Linked DNA regions of Yarrowia lipolytica. The protein of the gene in region 1 interacts with the protein of each later gene in a biochemical or structural test. Links are inferred from orthologs where the notes say so. Each region holds a gene or a part of one and is shown in the gene's direction. Other genes may lie near its edges.

What was found. The genes of interacting proteins can lie anywhere in the genome.
Region 2: of the proteins of YALI1_E07818g (region 1) and YALI1_E22207g, one has a biochemical effect on the other in vitro, tested with the Saccharomyces cerevisiae proteins (2 studies listed by BioGRID, with this or other methods). The link is inferred for Yarrowia lipolytica from reciprocal best matches to the Saccharomyces cerevisiae genes HSL1 and HSL7.

Annotation. Positions count from the first base shown.
Region 1 is NC_090774.1:777,876-788,288, forward strand, and holds YALI1_E07818g (uncharacterized protein), read left to right. Parts: upstream 1-3,944; coding exon 3,945-4,447; intron 4,448-5,313; coding exon 5,314-8,479; downstream 8,480-10,413. Other genes in the region: YALI1_E07790g (uncharacterized protein), read right to left, coding at 1-1,181, 1,717-1,732; YALI1_E07874g (uncharacterized protein), read right to left, coding at 9,102-9,593; YALI1_E07899g (uncharacterized protein), read right to left, coding at 9,940-10,413.
Region 2 is NC_090774.1:2,215,423-2,223,422, reverse strand, and holds YALI1_E22207g (uncharacterized protein), read left to right. Parts: upstream 1-2,651; coding exon 2,652-5,096; downstream 5,097-8,000. Other genes in the region: YALI1_E22238g (uncharacterized protein), read left to right, coding at 1-831; YALI1_E22218g (uncharacterized protein), read right to left, coding at 1,199-1,600; YALI1_E22159g (uncharacterized protein), read left to right, coding at 7,549-8,000.

The DNA of each region.
Region 1 (10,413 bases):
CACCTTTTCGTTTTGCAGGTGGTGGAACAGTTCTCCTCCGTTGACAAAAGCCAGTACAAGGTAGAGCTTGTCGGGGTTTTGAAACGAGAACTTGAGCGGCACAATGAACGGGTTATCAATCTGGGCCAGTACCGTTCGCTCCGCGAGCGTATGTGTGACTTCGGACCGCGACACGATTCGCGCTTTTCTAATCGTCTTTATCGCGTAAATCTGTTGCGTGTCCTTCTTGCGCACCTGCATCACCTTGCCAAACGAGCCCTTACCGATCACCTTGAGCAGCTCAAAGTCCTTCATGGACAGGGGCTCGTTACGTGTAGGCTTGTAATCCAGCTTGAGGTGGATTTTTCCTGTACCAGACGACAGAGCCTGATATCCGTCGAACGAAGACGCGGGGGTGAAGTTGGGGGTCAGTTTCACCGAGCCAAGGAAGATATCAATGTACTTAGGCGTGGCAGACGATCTCTTGGAGGACGAGTTTACGCTGCTCATGCTGCCGTTGCCCCCAATACTGCTACTGAGTCCCAGTCCCTCCATCTCACTGGGCTTGACCAGTCCGGCGCTCAGCTTGGCGTACAGGTTGATGCTCAGGGGCTCCGGACGCGACACGTCGAACGACGACTGGGCCTTCCAGATGGGGTTCTCCAGCGTTCCTCCTGTGGCCTCCAGCACCAGCTGCGTCTTGTCAAACTCCAACACCAGGTACACTGGGGGAGGAGTCATTCGTCGGGCAGAAGACATTGTGTTGGAATCCTTAACCAGCTGTTTTTCAGGTGCAAACAGGCTCGCATACTTGGCATAGCTGGGAGGCAGCGACAAGCCCTTGGTTTCGACAATGTTGACTGTCAACAGGCCGGGCTTGAAGGAGTGTGACAGGTGAGGGGCCGGAGGAGCAGCAGGAGTGGCACACGAAGTGGAGGTGGCGGAAGAGGCAGTGTCTCGTGAGTCTCGTGAGTCTCGTGGGGTGTAACTGTGTGTGGACTCTCGCGACCACTCTCCGCTGGGTGCCTTGCTGCTGGTGGAGCTTGTGGGGGTCAGCTTCTCATATCCGCCAGGAGCGTTGGTGGACACGGACGGTAAGCTGAGGGTGTCTCGTTTGGTGTTAGTGGGCGACTCCTTTATGGTGGCCGTGGAGTTAGACGACGGCCTTGAGGAGAAGGCTGACAGGTGGCCTTCTTTGATTTCTGTGTTAGTAAGTCTGCTTTGTAAGGCCCCGATAAGAAATGCTGTTAACCCCTAAATTGCGCCGTGCGTGAAGTACTGCCAAGACACGCAGCCCCGGATCGTGGGCAAGAGGGATATGAGAGGGGTGTGGTTGCGTGCTCGTTGTATTATATCGCAACACTGTTGACGCAGTGTGTGCAGATTCTCGTGTGACTTGACAACTTGGGTGTCATTGGCTGTACAAATCAACTCCACAAGTTGAAACACACCACGACATCGCCGTGAGCAACGGTAACGGACGACAGCCTCGGCAAACAACTGAGACAGCAGCGACAATAGCAGCAGCACGACCAGCGTCGTTCCTGCGACCTTTCTGTCCGTTCTCATCTCTCCCACCACATTTTCTTGTCACAACCAATATCACCACGGCCATGCCCGTGTATCCCCACACCCCCTGATCCAGTCACTGTGGGGAGACAATACCGGGCCCAAAATAGCCGCCGAGAACACGTCACGTCTGCCATGACCATTCCGGCCGCGTCCGCAAACACTCACTTTTCCACGTAGACATTGTGGGTCGTGTATGGTTGTCTATCAGGTGTTGATGAGCTAGTTTAGTCCACGTTTAACTACAAGTAACGTGTTGCAGAGTCAGCTGCGGAACCATGCTGCAGCAACACCGCCGGGAATACTCTCACACGCAACACAACGTGTCAGCTGCCGCAGGGGGGCTGCATCACCCCCCAAAAAAAGACATAGCCTCCGCCATGAGTAATGCCTCACCATGATTTATGCCACCGGTATAAATAGCCCGGCTGTCGCCCATGGTTAATGGAGCTGTCCACGTGAACCCCCTGCGGGATAAACGCAGTCACGTGATGTGCCGCAGAGTCTCTTCCCAGCGCATTACGTCATTTCCGGGAAAGTGCGCTACCAGTGCTACCGAATGTCGCCCTATGGAGGGCTTGGGTGGCTACTTATCTTTCTGTCCACTACTCGTCGTGTGGCGGAGACCCATTTATATATGATAAGAGCGATAAATGGCTACTTGTAGTCAAGGAAGCTCCGATATTGGCTTGGCAGGCGGGAAATTACGTCGAATTAGCTGCGATACAGTTTTTACGATACAAGTGTACAGCTACGAGGAGCTACTGTTGAACTGCTCCCCACTGCAGATTATTATTATTAACCATGCTGTCTATCAGAGATCGGCACTGAGATGAATGTTCAGGCGCTCTTTCACGTGTATCCAGAGTATACGAGCTGAATCACTCTTCAGAAGGTGTTGAATTGTTGTTGTACAGTATGTACATACGTACTTGTATCAGTAGTAACTGTCTTGTACTCTTACCGTAATCGTACTGTATCGTATTCAGTAGTGGTGGGTTCTTGTGCAGAAGTCACTACTCGTAGTCGACTTCACCATTGTTGTGTCGCATACAAATTCACGTTCCCACTCCAGCTCAGAGGATAATGACGCATTCCGCTACTGGCTGGTGGTTGCACCGGATTGGCTCCACTCGTACCTTTGTTCTGGCACCAAACACGGCTATTTTGGGTCAACTTTGAGCGTTTCGAGAGCTGTCATTGCCATTGTCCCGTCAGTGTGGCCCACAGTAAAAGGTGTATTTTTAGGGCATGTTTTTATACATACTAATTCGGCCCACCATGTACAAGTATACATCAAAACAGAAGAGATGGGGATGACACGGTCGAATAATAAAACGCGGAAATGAATGTACAAGTACAAGTACAAGTGCAAATTTCCCAACAAGGCCAGTTCTTCTGTGTATCAACACATTATATCCTGACAACCACCCAATATACCACCGCTCCGTCTCCGTTTCCCTCCACTTGTACTTGTACCTCCAACCCAAGATTCCACTGCACCCTTGCATCTGGTCAAATTCATGTTACAGTATGTAACGTGTAAGACCACTCCTACAATAATCCTACAATAATTGGCTACTTGTAGCTGATATTATTACGGCTGTAAAATGCAAATACCCTGTGCAAATACAGTCAACTAACCGCTCGACACCTCGACTGTACCACGTGGACAACATTCAAAGTGTATCACTCAAGCCGTACAACTGTGAATATATCCCACAATGGTCTCCATGACAACCATTGTGGACATCACGTGACCGGCGACAAGGTTGCAGATCTCCGTCTTGCTGCTTGTGGGTAAGGGTTTCAGCACAAAAATGACCCTTGACTCGCGTGTCGCGTATCCCAAAACGGCTTGGAATGTGAGCCATCAGATTAGGCCATGATGAGGCTCTTTTCGGTACTGTAGAGTTGAGCTAAAGTGACGGAAAAGCAATATTTGGGCCTTGAATAATTCGCCAACAAATGTCATGAACCGTCCAATTCGTCCACGGCCCGAAAATCCACATTTTTCTCTACATATTTCCCTCAATCCACATGTATTGTTTGTTAGGATGCTCAGCCGCGCATCAACTTTGTTTGTGCATTCTTCGCGTGTGGAATGTGGTTGTGGGGGTTGATGGGGTGGTGATGAAATAGAGAAATATATATGAAAAAAAAGAGAAAAATGCCGTTCGAATTATCCGTGTTTTTTCGGATTTTTTTGCTCTCAGTTGTAAGCCACAATACCACCATTTTTCAACCCACATCATTCCAAAGAAACTCTACAATGGGCAAACTCTTGCAAACAATGCACCATGCAGGCCGAGTGTATCGTTGGTGCTACACCTTCGTGGAGATAGATTGTTGGTTTCTGACACAGTCGTTCCTCTACCACCGACACACAAGCGACAATGCACAACCCAGCAGCTGTTGCAGCAGCCTCGCGGGCATACCCCACCGACCCCATGGTGCAACAAATACAGCAACAGTATGAGGCCCAGCAGAACTACAACTACAACGCTCAGGCACAAAACACACAGAACACACAGAACACACAGACACAGACACCGGGCCAGACAACCACAGACCCCACGACAAAACGGTTGTCCCAGACATCGACGTCGTCCAACAAGAAGACAAAAACGCACATTGGTCCTTGGCGACTGGGCCGAACCCTTGGACGAGGCTCCTCGGGACGTGTCCGACTAGCACGACACTCGCACACCGGCCAGCTTGCGGCCGTGAAGATTGTACCCAAGGCAGTGGTGGCCGACGCCGTCAATGCGGCCAACGGAGAGGAGCATGGCGCCACGGGGCTACCTTACGGTATTGAGCGGGAGGTGATCATCATGAAATTGATTGAACATGCCAATGTGATGGCACTGTACGATGTGTGGGAGAACAAGGGAGAATTGTGAGTATTGAAGAAGCGTGAAAATTACCTATTGGTGTGGAGTGTATGGTGGTGAAATCACAGGGTGGGTGGTGATGTTGTGGAACAACGAGACTATTTTGACGCGTTTTGATGGTGAGGCGAGCTTTTGGTACACTGAGAGGTGTTTTAGAGACATCAAAGATGACAAGTAAGGTGTTACAGCCGAAGTATATCTCCTACAGCTCTCAGTCGTCTCTCTAATTTGACTAAACGCGTCTCCACACTGTCACATGGCTCAGATAGTCCCAGACGCAGTTCCTGGACTGGCACATGACTTTCAAGTCCGTCTTTCCCTTCAATCACTCATTGACATACCCCCCTTTAATAGTCAGATGAATGCCCCGAACGGTACATTTACAGGGCACTGGGCGTGGTTCACACAAGCACGGTACACTGAGCACATCAGGACACTAAGAGACTCAGCAATTCGAGAAAGACGCATGCTTGTGGATCTTTGATTTAACTCTGTAAGCCTCCAACTAGTTTTGGTGCTTCTATGGCATATATCAATGTTCTCTTCACTCGCTTGTTGTGTTTGTTTACCGCTTGCCATTTCGTGGTTTATTATTCGGGACATACAGCCTTATCTTTGCGGAGACCAGTGTTTGAAGCTGTATCTCATTTCCTATTTTATTTCTGAGTCTCCAACCACCACCACCACCACCACACCGCTCCCAGGCAGTGCTACACTGTACATGCTGTATACGCTGCATCCCTGTGTCCATGCAGGCCAACTATACACAGCGTGGATGTGCGCGACGTATACTCAACATGGAATTGTCGCAGCGGTCGCTTGAGGCCCGTTACCAGGACAACGGCCAACCATTATACCCATACTAACCCAGATATCTCGTTTTGGAATACATTGAGGGCGGCGAGCTGTTTGATTACCTCATCAAAAAGGGCCGCCTGGAGGAATATGAGGCCGCCTCGTACTTTTTGCAAATCATCAATGGAGTCGACTACTGCCACAGATTCAACATTTGCCACCGAGATCTCAAGCCCGAGAACCTGCTGCTAGACAAGAACCGCAACATCAAGATTGCCGACTTTGGAATGGCCGCTCTGGAGACAGACCGGATGCTGGAAACCAGTTGTGGATCGCCTCACTACGCCTCTCCCGAAATTGTCGCCGGTAAGACATATCACGGAGCCCCCTCGGATATCTGGTCGTGCGGTATCATTCTTTTCGCGCTTCTGACCGGTCATCTGCCTTTTGACGATGACAACATTCGAAGATTGCTGCTCAAGGTGCAGACCGGCAAGTTCAATATGCCGTCAGAGCTGAGTCCATACGCCAAGGATCTCATTTGGCGAATGCTACGAACAGATCCTACCACTCGAATCACCATGGACGAGATCTTCCAGCATCCCTTCGTGCGCAAGTACAGCGGAGGTGTGACACCCACTCACATCCATGCTCCTTCTTACGAGCATGTGGCCCGTCCTGTGGCTTCGGTGCAGGACATTGATATAGAGATTCTCAAGAACCTACAGATTCTGTGGCACGGCGAAGACGCCGAGATCATCATGCAGAAGCTGCTGTCTCCCGATGCTAACCCGGAGAAGACCTTTTACTGTCTGCTGATGAAGTACCGACATGATCATGCTGCCGCTGTGGCTGCCACTGCTCCTCCCACGTTGCAACAGCAACAGAGCCAGGAGATGCAGCCTGCCATGCACAAGTCCCATAGCCACTCGTCTCGCAAGCAACACAAGCGCAAGACAAGCCACAACAGCCATCGACTTGGCTCTCGGGGTTCGCTGGTGTCTGTTTCTTCGGCCCACAAGCGAGGTGTTTCTTTCACCCATGTCAAGAAGCGATCTCAGCAGAGCATCCGAAGCATGCGAGGAAGTGCCAGCAACTCCGTCGTCGCTTCTCCTAGAAAACAGACTGCCTCCGCACCTGTTTCGGCTGGTACTGCACCCATTCCTTTCAACGTCAACGTTCCTTACACAGAGGCACCTGCTACTGCACCCGCAGCTCCTACAACCGCAGCCGCTACATCCACAGCCACTAGAGCACCAGCACAGCCACTGGCACCAACACAAGCGGTTCAGTCACCACCACGACAATCACAGCCTGTCCATCAACAGCCGCCAACATCACGACGGGCTCCCATCTCGTCAGCTCCCTCGTGGCTTACACGGTCGCCTCCTGCCAGCAAGGATGCCGACTTTGAAGCCTTCCTTGACTCTGCCTTCAACAAGCCCGTCAAGACGAAGAAGAGCTACGGCAGTCTGCTTGGTTCTCCCGTTGACGCTCGACGCCATGTGACTGACCCTGCTAACACGTCCATCGCCTCTCGAACCGCAGCTGGCGCAACCGCTGCGAACACATCCAAGCGAGCAGTAACCATGGCATACAACGATGAGTTTGAGTTCGAACGGCCCATGTCATTGTTTGATCCTCGAGAGGTAGGAGGAGACACTGGCCGTGCCCAGCAGCCCAGCGTATCTCGCGCTCAAACCATTTCTCACACTCACACCCACTCGCGAGAGCGTGTGGCCAACGCTCATTCTGATACCCCCAACTACCTGCCCATGATTTTCGAGGAGGGCGACCGGTTCGCAGATGCCATCGAGGAGGAGTTCCATCTCAACATTTCCGACAACACTCTTTCTGCCCCCTCCACGAACCACACAACTCCTATGCTTGGGGGCGATCGAAAGTCGAGTGAGTGGGAGAACCTGTTTGATTTCACTGAGCGAGGGGACCAGGTTGTTGTGGGCGAGGACTCTCTGCTGGACATTTCTTTCCACCGAGACAATGCCAATGAGGCCACTCCTGTGGCTCCTGCTGCTACCCATGTTGGTCGGGAGTCCACAGAGCTTTACAAGGATCTTCAATTCCCCGAAATCCCTGTTGTGGACCGAGATGAGACTGCCGTGGAGTCTATGCCTCGAACCCAGTCCAAGATGAAGATCTCGGGCCAGATGCAGACAGACAACTTCATGAAGCGACCTTCGTCCATCAACCTCAACGGTCATCTCAGCCAGAGCAACCTATCGCGACAGACGACTTCTGCTTCCCAGCGACGTCCTCTCGTGTCTCGTGATATGAATACCCATGCTGCTTCCCCTCGAGAGGCCGCCAAGCCTGTTAGACAGTTGCAGGCAGCTGCTGAACTGCACGAACGACGACCTGTTGAGGTTCTACAGAAACAGCAACCGCAACAGCAGCAGCAGCATCATCATCAGCAGCAGCAGCAGACTCAGCATCAGTTGCAGCCCGCACCTGTCTTCCGAGAGAAGCCTGTGGTGTCTGCTCCACGACGGCCTGCACCTGCTCCCCCCGTGCAGAGTGTGGCCGACACCATGGTTCTTCCTATGCACCAGCAGCAGCAGAACAACTCGCAGTTTACCATTCCTGCTCCTGTGCAGACTCAGCCACCCCAGTCAAAGTCCAGCCGAACGAAGTCATTCATCCGACGGTTTGGATTTGCACCCAAGCGTGAGGCTCCAGTTGCTCCCACTTCTAAGGTGACCATGATCCAATCTAGCGACTATGGTGCTGCTCCTGGTGTGAATGCCAACGCCCACATGAATGCACAGAAAGATCCAGCTGCACCTGCAGCTCATGCAGCAGCTCATGCAGCTCACACGTCCGGTACTGCTCCTGCTACTGGCGACCCTTGGAACGTCACTCAATCGTGGTTCATGAAGATGTTCTCGCGACCCAACGTCGCCCCCCGGCAACCTCCTCAAACCCTCTACTCCACTCTCACCAGCCAGCAGCTGGAAGACGAGATTGTGGCTCTGCTTGCATCGTGGCGCAAGTATGGTATTTCCAATCTGTCTGTGTCACACTCTTCCATTAAGTGTCAGATCAGCTCGCGAAATGCTCTGAAAATCAAATCGGCAAAATTGCATATCGACATTGGTCCCCTCAAACACACCAATAGTTTTGCTCACTTTTTCCACGATCGAGGCTCGCAGGGCTCGTTTACTCAGCTCTATGACCAGATCAAGGCGCACCTTGTTTCTCAAGGTCTGCTCATTAATAACTAAACGTAACTAATATAGCTAATTAATTTTATTTAATGAATGATAATATAATAATATAATGATGACGTGTATGTGTACGGTACATTGTACTTGTAGGAGTAGCAGTACTGACCTCTTCTTGACTGGCATAGCACAAATCTGCTCCTTGTTGATAGAACGGCACATGAGAAAGAAGCATACAGTGTGTACTACAAATTGTATTTGTCATTAAGTACGATATATATAAGAAATGACGGCATATTCAGGAATGATTCTATAAAACAAATATGCTCTGTGATGCTGGTTTGTTCATGCCGCCTTCCGTGTTGGATACAATCAAACTACCATGCACGGTAATGTCTTGAAAGACTGCCCCATGTCCGTAATAGCCAATACTGTAGCATGATTCGAGTGTAACAGCAGGGGAAGAGTTAACACAAGGACTTTGAAGGCTCACTTCTGAGATATCCAGTCCACGAGCATGGAAGGACTGTTCTGCGTAGACCCTCGGTAGCCGACATATACTGTAAGCATCTGCGCCTTGTTGTGCTTGCCAGTCCATGGCCTGTCTCAAAGCTTGGTCGAAAAGTCACTGATGCTGGCACTCAGGTCACTCCGCTAATTTTGTGTCGGTGTCCTTCTTTCATTACTCCTCCTCAACACCGTACTGCACAGTGATCCACAAACTGCAGGTTCCACATTGCACGACAATCTCGTGAAACTGGACATCGACACCCTCGTAGTACTTTTCGTTATTCTCCAAATGTTCTTCGGTCAAAACGTAGCCTCCTGCCTCTCCACATCGACATGGCTTGTACCATGAAAACATGCCATCTGCGTCTTCCCTCTCCTCCAATTCTGTCAAATCAAACACGTCACTACCAGGGCCGCTTTTAACGCCATTTGCGCCATTCTTCAGACTCAAATCATACTCCTTTTTTAGCTTGGAGTTGCTCAAACATGCGTAGGCTGTCGTGATGGCTGTGATCTGAACAGATCCAGTATATGCCTCTCTCTCCTGGAGCTTGTCGGGGTGGTTTTTCAGCAATGCCTGTTTGTATGCAGTTTTGAGATCCGCTGAAGTCAGCTCAGGCACGTGAGGAGGCTCAGATAGTCCCAATATAGTGTAGTGGTTCATGGTGAATAATTTGATGTGTGGAGAAAAAAAAATTTGAGTTCAGAGGAGTCAACGAAGTGCAGCTGTGGTGTATGTCTACTAACCTCCATGCAAAAGTGAGCATCTGAGCATCCAAGTATTGGTCAATTCCTTACTTATACTTACTACTGTACTCCTACTGTACAATACATATCATTTGATTAACTGTCCATTCGAAATGACCCATCGCACTATGAGTGCTTGTAGTGCAGTAGAAGCAGTTGTTGTGTCTACGATGCTAACTACCAAGTAACATACACTAAACGTCTGCTAGTTCATACGACATAAATAAAACAGTTCATTAGTAACAATATATCCTTCAATCCATCTACTCATCCTCAAGAGAGCAAATTTCCTCATCCTCGTCCTTTCGGAACAGGAAGGGTCTAATGACAGACTCGTAATAAGGAGGTCGAGGGTCTTGGGGAGGGTTCTGAGTGTTGACCACCTTGAAGTAGTTCTTGTAGACATCTCCGTCAGCTCGTCCAATGGCAGAGTTGAGGAAAAAATCAGGCACGTTGAAGGCATCGGTGTAGCCAATGACGTCCTTTCGCACCTCCAAGAGCTGCTTTCGGATCTCGGCACTGATGTACTTGAGCTCCTGGGGAGTGATGTAGCCCTCTCGGAGGAAGATTCCAGCCTCCTCTTCGACGGACCAGAAGGCGTACAGGTTGGCAAGTCTGGTAAGAGGCTCCTTGGTGAACTCGGTGCCCTCCTCGGCAATTCGCTCGTAGAAGTTCTTGACCATGTACAGACGGGTGTGGATTCGAGTACACAGGAATCGTTGCTGGGACAGCTCCTC
Region 2 (8,000 bases), about 1.4 Mb from region 1:
GGCTGTGGTGTCGAGTCCATGTCCAACCAGTACGGTCCCAACTCCGTCACCCCCTTCTCCAACAAGTTCCAGAACAACGAGGAGGCTAAGAAGTGCCTGATCCCCATGGGTATCACTTCCGAGAACGTTGCCGCCAAGTACAACGTGTCCCGAAAGGCCCAGGACGCCTTTGCTGCCAAGTCCTACGAGAAGGCCGCCGCTGCCCAGGCCGCCGGCAAGTTCGACCAGGAGATCCTCCCCATCAAGACCACTGTTCTCGATGATGATGACAACGAGAAGGAGGTTACCGTCAACAAGGACGACGGTATCCGACCTGGTGTCACCGCCGAGAAGCTCGGCAAGCTCAAGCCTGCTTTCTCCGCCGAGGGAACCACCCACGCTGGTAACGCCTCTCAGATCTCCGACGGTGCCGGAGCCGTTCTCCTCATGCGACGATCTGTTGCCGAGAAGCTTGGCCAGCCCATCCTTGCCAAGTTTGTCCACTGCAAGACCGTCGGTGTTCCCCCCGAGCTCATGGGAATTGGCCCCGCTTACGCCATTCCTGCTGTCCTTGAGGACCTTGGTCTGACCGTCAACGACGTTGACGTTTTCGAGATCAACGAGGCTTTCGCTTCCCAGGCTCTGTTCTCCATCCAGCATTGTGGAATCGACGAGTCCAAGGTCAACCCCCGAGGTGGTGCCATTGCTATTGGCCACCCTCTGGGAGCCACCGGTGCTCGACAGTTTGCCACTCTGCTCTCCGAGCTTAAGGAGTCTGGCAAGAAGGTCGGTGTCACCTCCATGTGCATTGGTACCGGTATGGGTGCCGCTTCTCTGGTTGTTGCCGAGTAAATGTACATACAAGATTATTTATAGAAATGAATCGCGATCGAACAAAGAGTACGAGTGTACGAGTAGGGGATGATGATAAAAGTGGAAGAAGTTCCGCATCTTTGGATTTATCAACGTGTAGGACGATACTTCCTGTAAAAATGCAATGTCTTTACCATAGGTTCTGCTGTAGATACTTGTACAGTTGCAGACCAGTTGGAGTATAGAATGGTACACTTACCAAAAAGTGTTGATGGTTGTAACTACGATACGGGATCCCCGCTGATATGCCTAAGGAACAATCAAAGAGGAAGATATTAATTCAGAATGCTAGTATACAGTTAGGGATGGTGAGTGTTGGGTGATGCAGGGGAGGTTGTCGAGCGGTTCACTTGAGTGCGTCCCGCTGTTTCATCAAGTGCATTTCAAGAATCCCGTTGGCCATGTGCATTTTGACCTTTTGCGGGTCGATTTTGACCGTTGGCGGAAACCGCACCGTTCTCTGGAAGGAGCCGTTGTGTCGTTCTCCCACCATGAGACAGTCGGACAGATGTGCAAAGGGGTTGGTGTAGTGGCCACTGATGGTCAGGCTGTTGGAGTCTGCGTCGTAGGCGGTTTCCAGGTCCGCCGACCGCACCGCCGGCAGACTTGTCACCACAATGTACATGTTTCCCAGGTCGTAGATGTCGACTGGTGGCGCGAATGGGTCAGTATGGGAGTGTGGGAGAGGAGTAGCTGGTGGCGAGTGGGCCAGGTCTGTTTCGGCATAGTCGGGCATTACAAAGGACATGGGGAGGGCGACGGGAGGCTTTTTGAGGAGTTGAAGAAGAGCTGGGGAAGAAATCAAGTGTCAAGCTTGAAAAAATCGGCTTTTCCATCTCAATTAGTTGCCTACATCGAGCCCATCAGAGTTCATGCACATGCAATGACCTCACAAGACACTGGCATAATTATGGCAGGGCTAATTTTAGCACTCCTCTGACAAAGCCGATGGGCGATGATAAACGCTGTCCACCATCTCGTGATCTTGCGGTTCCACTCCAGGGTATGACCAATCACGGCTGTGTTGCCGTTTCAGTGGGTGGCGACAGGGTGGCAAAGTGACGGTGGCAGTGCTTCACGTGACCTGGTCATACAGAACCGATCGGCCTTTCCCGATGGGCGGATAAATTGTTCCGACGCTATGCCGTATCCGAGATTCGTCGACATTTGCTATGTTATTTTCTGCTCAATTTTGAGATCGACTTTTGGGTCTATTTCGTCGAGAAGATTCCAGAAGGTGGAGGGGCAGTGCAGATGCAGATGCAGTCTGCCATCTAGGGTGATTAGGAGTAGTATCCATGGTGGTGGTATCAGTATCAGGGCTTTAGATGTTGTTTCGCTGCCTATTTAATATCATTTTTGTCATTCGCCAGAGTTGATTGCAAGTTTTTTGAGTAATTTCGAGTAATTGTAAGTAAAATCCAAATAAAAATCCAAGTAAATTGCAAGTAATTTCGAGTAATTTTCGGGTAATTTTCTGGTGATTTTCGAGTAATTGTAAGTAAAATCCAAATATAAATCCAAAGTCATCAAGTAATAACGAGTAACAATAACAAACAAGGAAAATCCATAAAAATCCAAATAAAAATCCAAAGTCATCAAGTAATAACGAGTCACAACAAACAAGGAAAATCAAAGAAAAATCAAAGAAAAATCCACAAATAACCCCCAAAATACAACTACCTGTAACCCCCCAAATATCATTATTATTATCATTATAACCCCATCTGTTTACACAAATTGCACTAGTGCGGCAACCAAAATAAACTCCACCACCGCCTCACTAATATCAACTCTATATGATGACTAATCAACCCGGCCAAAGCCCAGATCCACTCTTTTTTCAGCCCCATCTTCGAAAACACGGTCCAAGCCACAACGGCCGTCTTGTATTCCCCCACAAACACGAACTTCACGCGTGCAAATCTCCATCCGGTGCCGATCATGCGGGGTCGTCTCCCGGGCAACCCTCTGGATGCACCTCACCACCTGTACAGGCTGCACTAAGATTTGAGTCCAAAATTCAGGGGCTTTTGAAAAGACAGTGTCCTATACTGCTTTTACACGCGCGATCTACGATGGAACGAAAAGCTAGCGCCGCCAGCAGTGTTTTTTCGACCGCCAGCAGAGGAGGAGGGGGGATGTCGTCGCCGGACGTGGCCCAGAGCGGCGGGTCTGGAGCCAGTGGAGCTGACACCACTCCTGATTCGGAGGCGCCTGATCAGCCCGAACCATGCTTCATTGGAATCAACATGCCCAGTGCCGACGGCCACTCGTCGCAGCTCATTGTCGACTGTGCGCTGGAGCAGGGCTACGACATGATCACCGCCACCATCACCAACACCCATTACCGAACCAAGGTGGAGCAGAGCATCACTGCCGGACAGCTGACTGTGCCTCCCCCGTCTCTGGACGATGTGACCATCATGCCGGGAGGCTCGCATGTACACTCGACGGTGGTTCTGGCCAGCGCATGGATCGAGCTGGACGCCAAAAACGAAGCCACCGCCGCAATGTCTCTCCAGGTGCTCAAGCATGAGCTGGCCTACGCCTCCTACTGTGGAGTGGCCTTTGCCATCATTCCGGGCCCCAAGAGCCGCAAAAACGTGGCCACCTACGCCCATGCCGTCGCAGCCGCCCTCAGACACTCTCCCTGCATCCAGGTGGCCATTCATCTGCCATTTGCCGAGGCTGACGCAACCCAGAGTAGCCCCCATCTAGGCGGACATGCTCGAAAACCGTCGCAGATGTCAGATCCACTATCCATATGGGAAGTCTGGCACTCAGTGCGCACCATGGCCGGCTATCCGTCATCCTTATCGGTGGCTCTACAGCTCCCCAGAGCTCTACCTCCGCTACACGTGATAGATAGATGGATGGCAGAACCCATCTCTTTCGTCTGCGTGTCAGCAGGCTCCTTTATTCCCAACCCCAAGGGCTACCCAGTGTTCAGTAAGTCGCTACAACAACTTTTGCTACGATGTCTCAAGCTCAAACCTCTGACTTTGCTCCAGGAAGACGCGATGGCAGCTGAAAAGTTCCGAGGAGGGGAACAGGCCTTTCTCATATACCTGAGATATATTTACGCGCGTCGACCGAGTCCGTCGGCACTCGAAAAGTTCTCAGACGGATACCACGACTTTCTGCAGGCGCCTCTGCAACCTCTCGCAGACAATCTCGAAAATGGCACATACGAGGCGTTTGAACAGGACCCAGTCAAATACACGCTGTACGAGGAGGCGATAGGGAAGGCCCTAGTACATCTTGTGCGAGAAAAGAAGAGCGCAACAGGCACTTTTATGGTTTGTGTGGCTGGTGCCGGAAGAGGTCCCCTGGTCGACCGTACTATTGCTGCTGCCACGACTACAAAGACGCAGGTGAAGATTGTAGCAGTGGAGAAGAACCCTGCAGCCTATGTTCAGCTCATGCAACGCAACAACGACGTCTGGAACGCCCAGGGTCACCGTGTGGAAGTGATCATGTCCGACATGCGCACCTACGAAAGCCGGTCCGAGCAATTCTTTGACCTCATCATTTCGGAGCTTCTTGGCTCGTTTGGAGACAATGAACTCTCTCCCGAGTCCCTCGATCCCATCCAGAGACTCTTGCATCCCACCAGAGGCATAATGATCCCTCAGTCATACACTGCATTTGCTGCTCCAGCATTGTCTCCGAAACTGTACAACTCTGTGCTCTCTGGTGGTCCCACACCCGCCCAGGGCCCTCAACAGGGATCTGGAGGCACTACGAGTTCGCCCAATAACTCTTTCAATACCCCCTACGTGGTTATGCTCAAGCAGGTGGATATTTTGGCACAAGCCAAACCTCTGTGGTCGTTTGCACACCCCGGAAACCCTGCTGCGTTCAGCAAAGAAAATATCCACAATACGCGTTTCTCGAAGACATCGTTCGAGATCCCAGCCAAGGCATGTGTGCATGGAATTGCTGGCTACTTTGAGGCTGTTCTCTTCCAGGACGTGTCCCTGTCTACTGTTCCGCATACCAGACACAAGTCTCCAGACATGTTGTCGTGGTTCCCCATTTGGTTTCCGTTGAAGACTCCGATGAACGTGCCCGATCATTCTGAAGCTGACCTTTGCTTCTGGCGAAAGACCGACGGAAAGGTCGTGTGGTACGAGTGGGCGGCAGAGACGTTCTTCAAGCCGCTCCAGAGCGGCCCTCGAATGCGACTGTCATGCTCTGAGATACATAATGTGGGGAGGGAGAGTGTCATGAGACTGTAGACAGATGCTGACCGCGTAGCTGGAGGTGTCTGTCTTTCGGGTACACTTGTAGTCTCGCCCGATAGTATGTGCGTATCTTCAACGTGCTGAGAAAGCGACATAACAGAATGCATTGATGAATCATGAAGGATGAGTGATCCGAAGTCAGCGATGACTCGGATTTAGATGACGTGACATACACAACTGACACTAAGTAGAGGCGAATACGACAGTGACTGGAGCAGGTTGTCTCTGTCTACTGTGGCAAGTTCCGAGATCCTCACTGGCTACGATGGTACCTCGAACAGGTCACCTGTCGCCGAAAAACTATGGGACACGTCGCCGAAACTATGGACACTTGTCGCCGAAAACTATGGACACTGGTCGCCGAAACTACGGCCATTTTCTCTTTCTCTCTATATATTTAGTTGTCGTATCTTTAGAGTGAATGGATTGAAAACTACAGTGCGGATGAAGAGGCAACCGGCCGCGACCCGAAGGCTCTTGTAGGAATTTCTGTGACTCTAGATGACCCTGCGACCGTCCATATCGCCACAAGAGCTTTTTGAACAGAGCCTGTTAATGACCATACTTCCATAGTCCAGATACTGACTGGTATGGGTCTGCCGGCAGACATTGTCGCATCCGAAGAGCCGAGAAGTGATGTTCGCCAGCAGGAAATGTCTTGTTTGGGAATAATGCTTTCAGGAGTATCCGCTCGAAGTTCCGACTCGACAACTGTGTAGCTGGCGACTCGGCACGTATTTCTCCACATGGTTCATCTTGCTCCTCCGGCTCTGGGGACTCTTGGTCTTCAGGTTGTCGGGCTTGTCTGAGTCGGCTGATACCCTGGCTCCCTCTATAGTCCAATGGTGCTGGCTGTCAGTGTCGCAACGGTTCTTAGTTTCGTACTTGTCTTACAAGTAGTAGTTTCTGCGATGGAATCGCTCTTTGCAGTCCTACAAAAGTATGTAAGAGTACTCTGGCCAAAAACGAGTACTGACAGCTGCTCATCAATGGATTGGTATCATTTGACTGTCCTTGACAAGAAGATTCACAGTATCAACGCACGATTCACGGTATCCAAGACAATTCCAACAGATCAGTCATGTTATGCACAAGTACCACTAGTAGACATCTACCTTTGAGTCTTGGCCAATAAACTGAAGAAAGCAGTTATTCAACTCGTCATACCATTGCCGTAACACCTCAACGATCAGAGCCAGCTATCCCTCTTGACCATGCGGTAGGTCTGAACGGAGAAGACGTTGAGAAGTCCTTTGCTGCTCGTCCATGGGGATGAATGGTGCTGGCCATCGTCAGAGTTCAAGATAAAAAGGCGAGGACACACCCTGTCGGTATCTGATGGTAAGTTGGGACGTCAGATCCATATCTTTTTGCCGAAAGGTGCAACTGCGACTGGCCCGACACGTTGGCGGACATCTCTTTTGTTGCAACTAGCGGTGTATGTAGAAACGGAATTACTAAAAGTTGGAGTCATACCAGGGTGAGTTGAAAAGGCTCCAACTTTTGGAAATCCCGTTTCTTCAAAATTGACCTATACCTGAAGGTATCTCCAGTTGGTTAGATGCGTCGGTCGCATACTTGGATATACGCCGATGTGCTTCACAGCCCACACTCCCTGCGATGGCTTCTCACGAGTCCTGAAGCACAGTCAGAAGAACTTGCAGCTACTCTGGCTTGTGGCTGTCAAGATTGGTTGTAGGTGCGTCCAGAGATTCCAAACCACTCAGCCAGCGCAAGTCGCAGCCAGTACCCTCTGATCAGCCTCACAACGCTCTCCCATGTCCAGTTCCGCGTCTCTCCTGATATACGACCTGTTTTTCGCCGCTCCAGGCCAGTCCTCGTCTGATCGATTCGAATTGTGTCGATATCTGTTCCAGAATAACAGAAGATCAGCGTGACCCATAACATGACAGTCAGTCTGGATGACCAACTCAGGGGGCCACAAGTTGTTATCCGACATGTCATTCGACATCTCAGTCAACAGCCAACAACCGCCGGCCTCTGCTCATCGTACTAATACCGTAGTATGTACTGGTATTGTGCGAGTACAAGGCTTGCAAGAAATTAATGATGGACTCAGTGTTGGTTCGGAGAGAGTCACGTGACTCCCATTTGCATTTCCACTCGATGACTAATCTGAATGACCGACGACCGCGACGGTTCCCACTGAGTCCTCATCACCATCCTGAGATGAGGGATCCTTTTATTTATTTATTTTTCTCGCATTTTCCTCATTTTTCTCCTTTTGTTTTTGTTTTATTTTATTTTTATTCAATTCAATTCCAATTCAATTCAATTCTTAAATTCAATTCAATTCAATTCAATTTAATTTAATTTAATTTAATTTAATTTTAATTTAATTTTTTCCCCCATACGCGGTTGTCGATAACCGGTGGGGAAGCAGAGTTTAATTGTGCGGCCAAAATGTTTATAATAGGCTCTGGTGATGAGCAGGCTAATGTCTCGACTGACTATACGACCAGGCCACCGAATCGTTTATCGCCACCAAATCGTTTATCGCCACCAAATCGTTTCTCGACTCTTTTCCACACTTTCCGCTTCCATGTCACGACACCCTAGCCTCAAGGAGCTCGAGAAGGAGCGACCGGCATTCGTAGATCGACCGGGATTCACCTTCACAAACACGCCCAACACGGAGTGGCAGTTTGGAGATGGAGCCAACTCGCAGGATGACGGGTGGAAGAAACACAAAAAGGTGAGCTTCAGTCCCACGGCCGAGGGCCGGCCGCCCATGTTCAATTACAAGCTGCTGATTGGCGCCGTGACCCCCCGGCCCATTGCGTTTCTGTCCACAGTGAGCAAGGACGGAGTGCGGAACCTAGCGCCCTTCTCCTTCTTCAACATGGTGTCGTCAGACCCGCCCGTGTTCGCCATTGG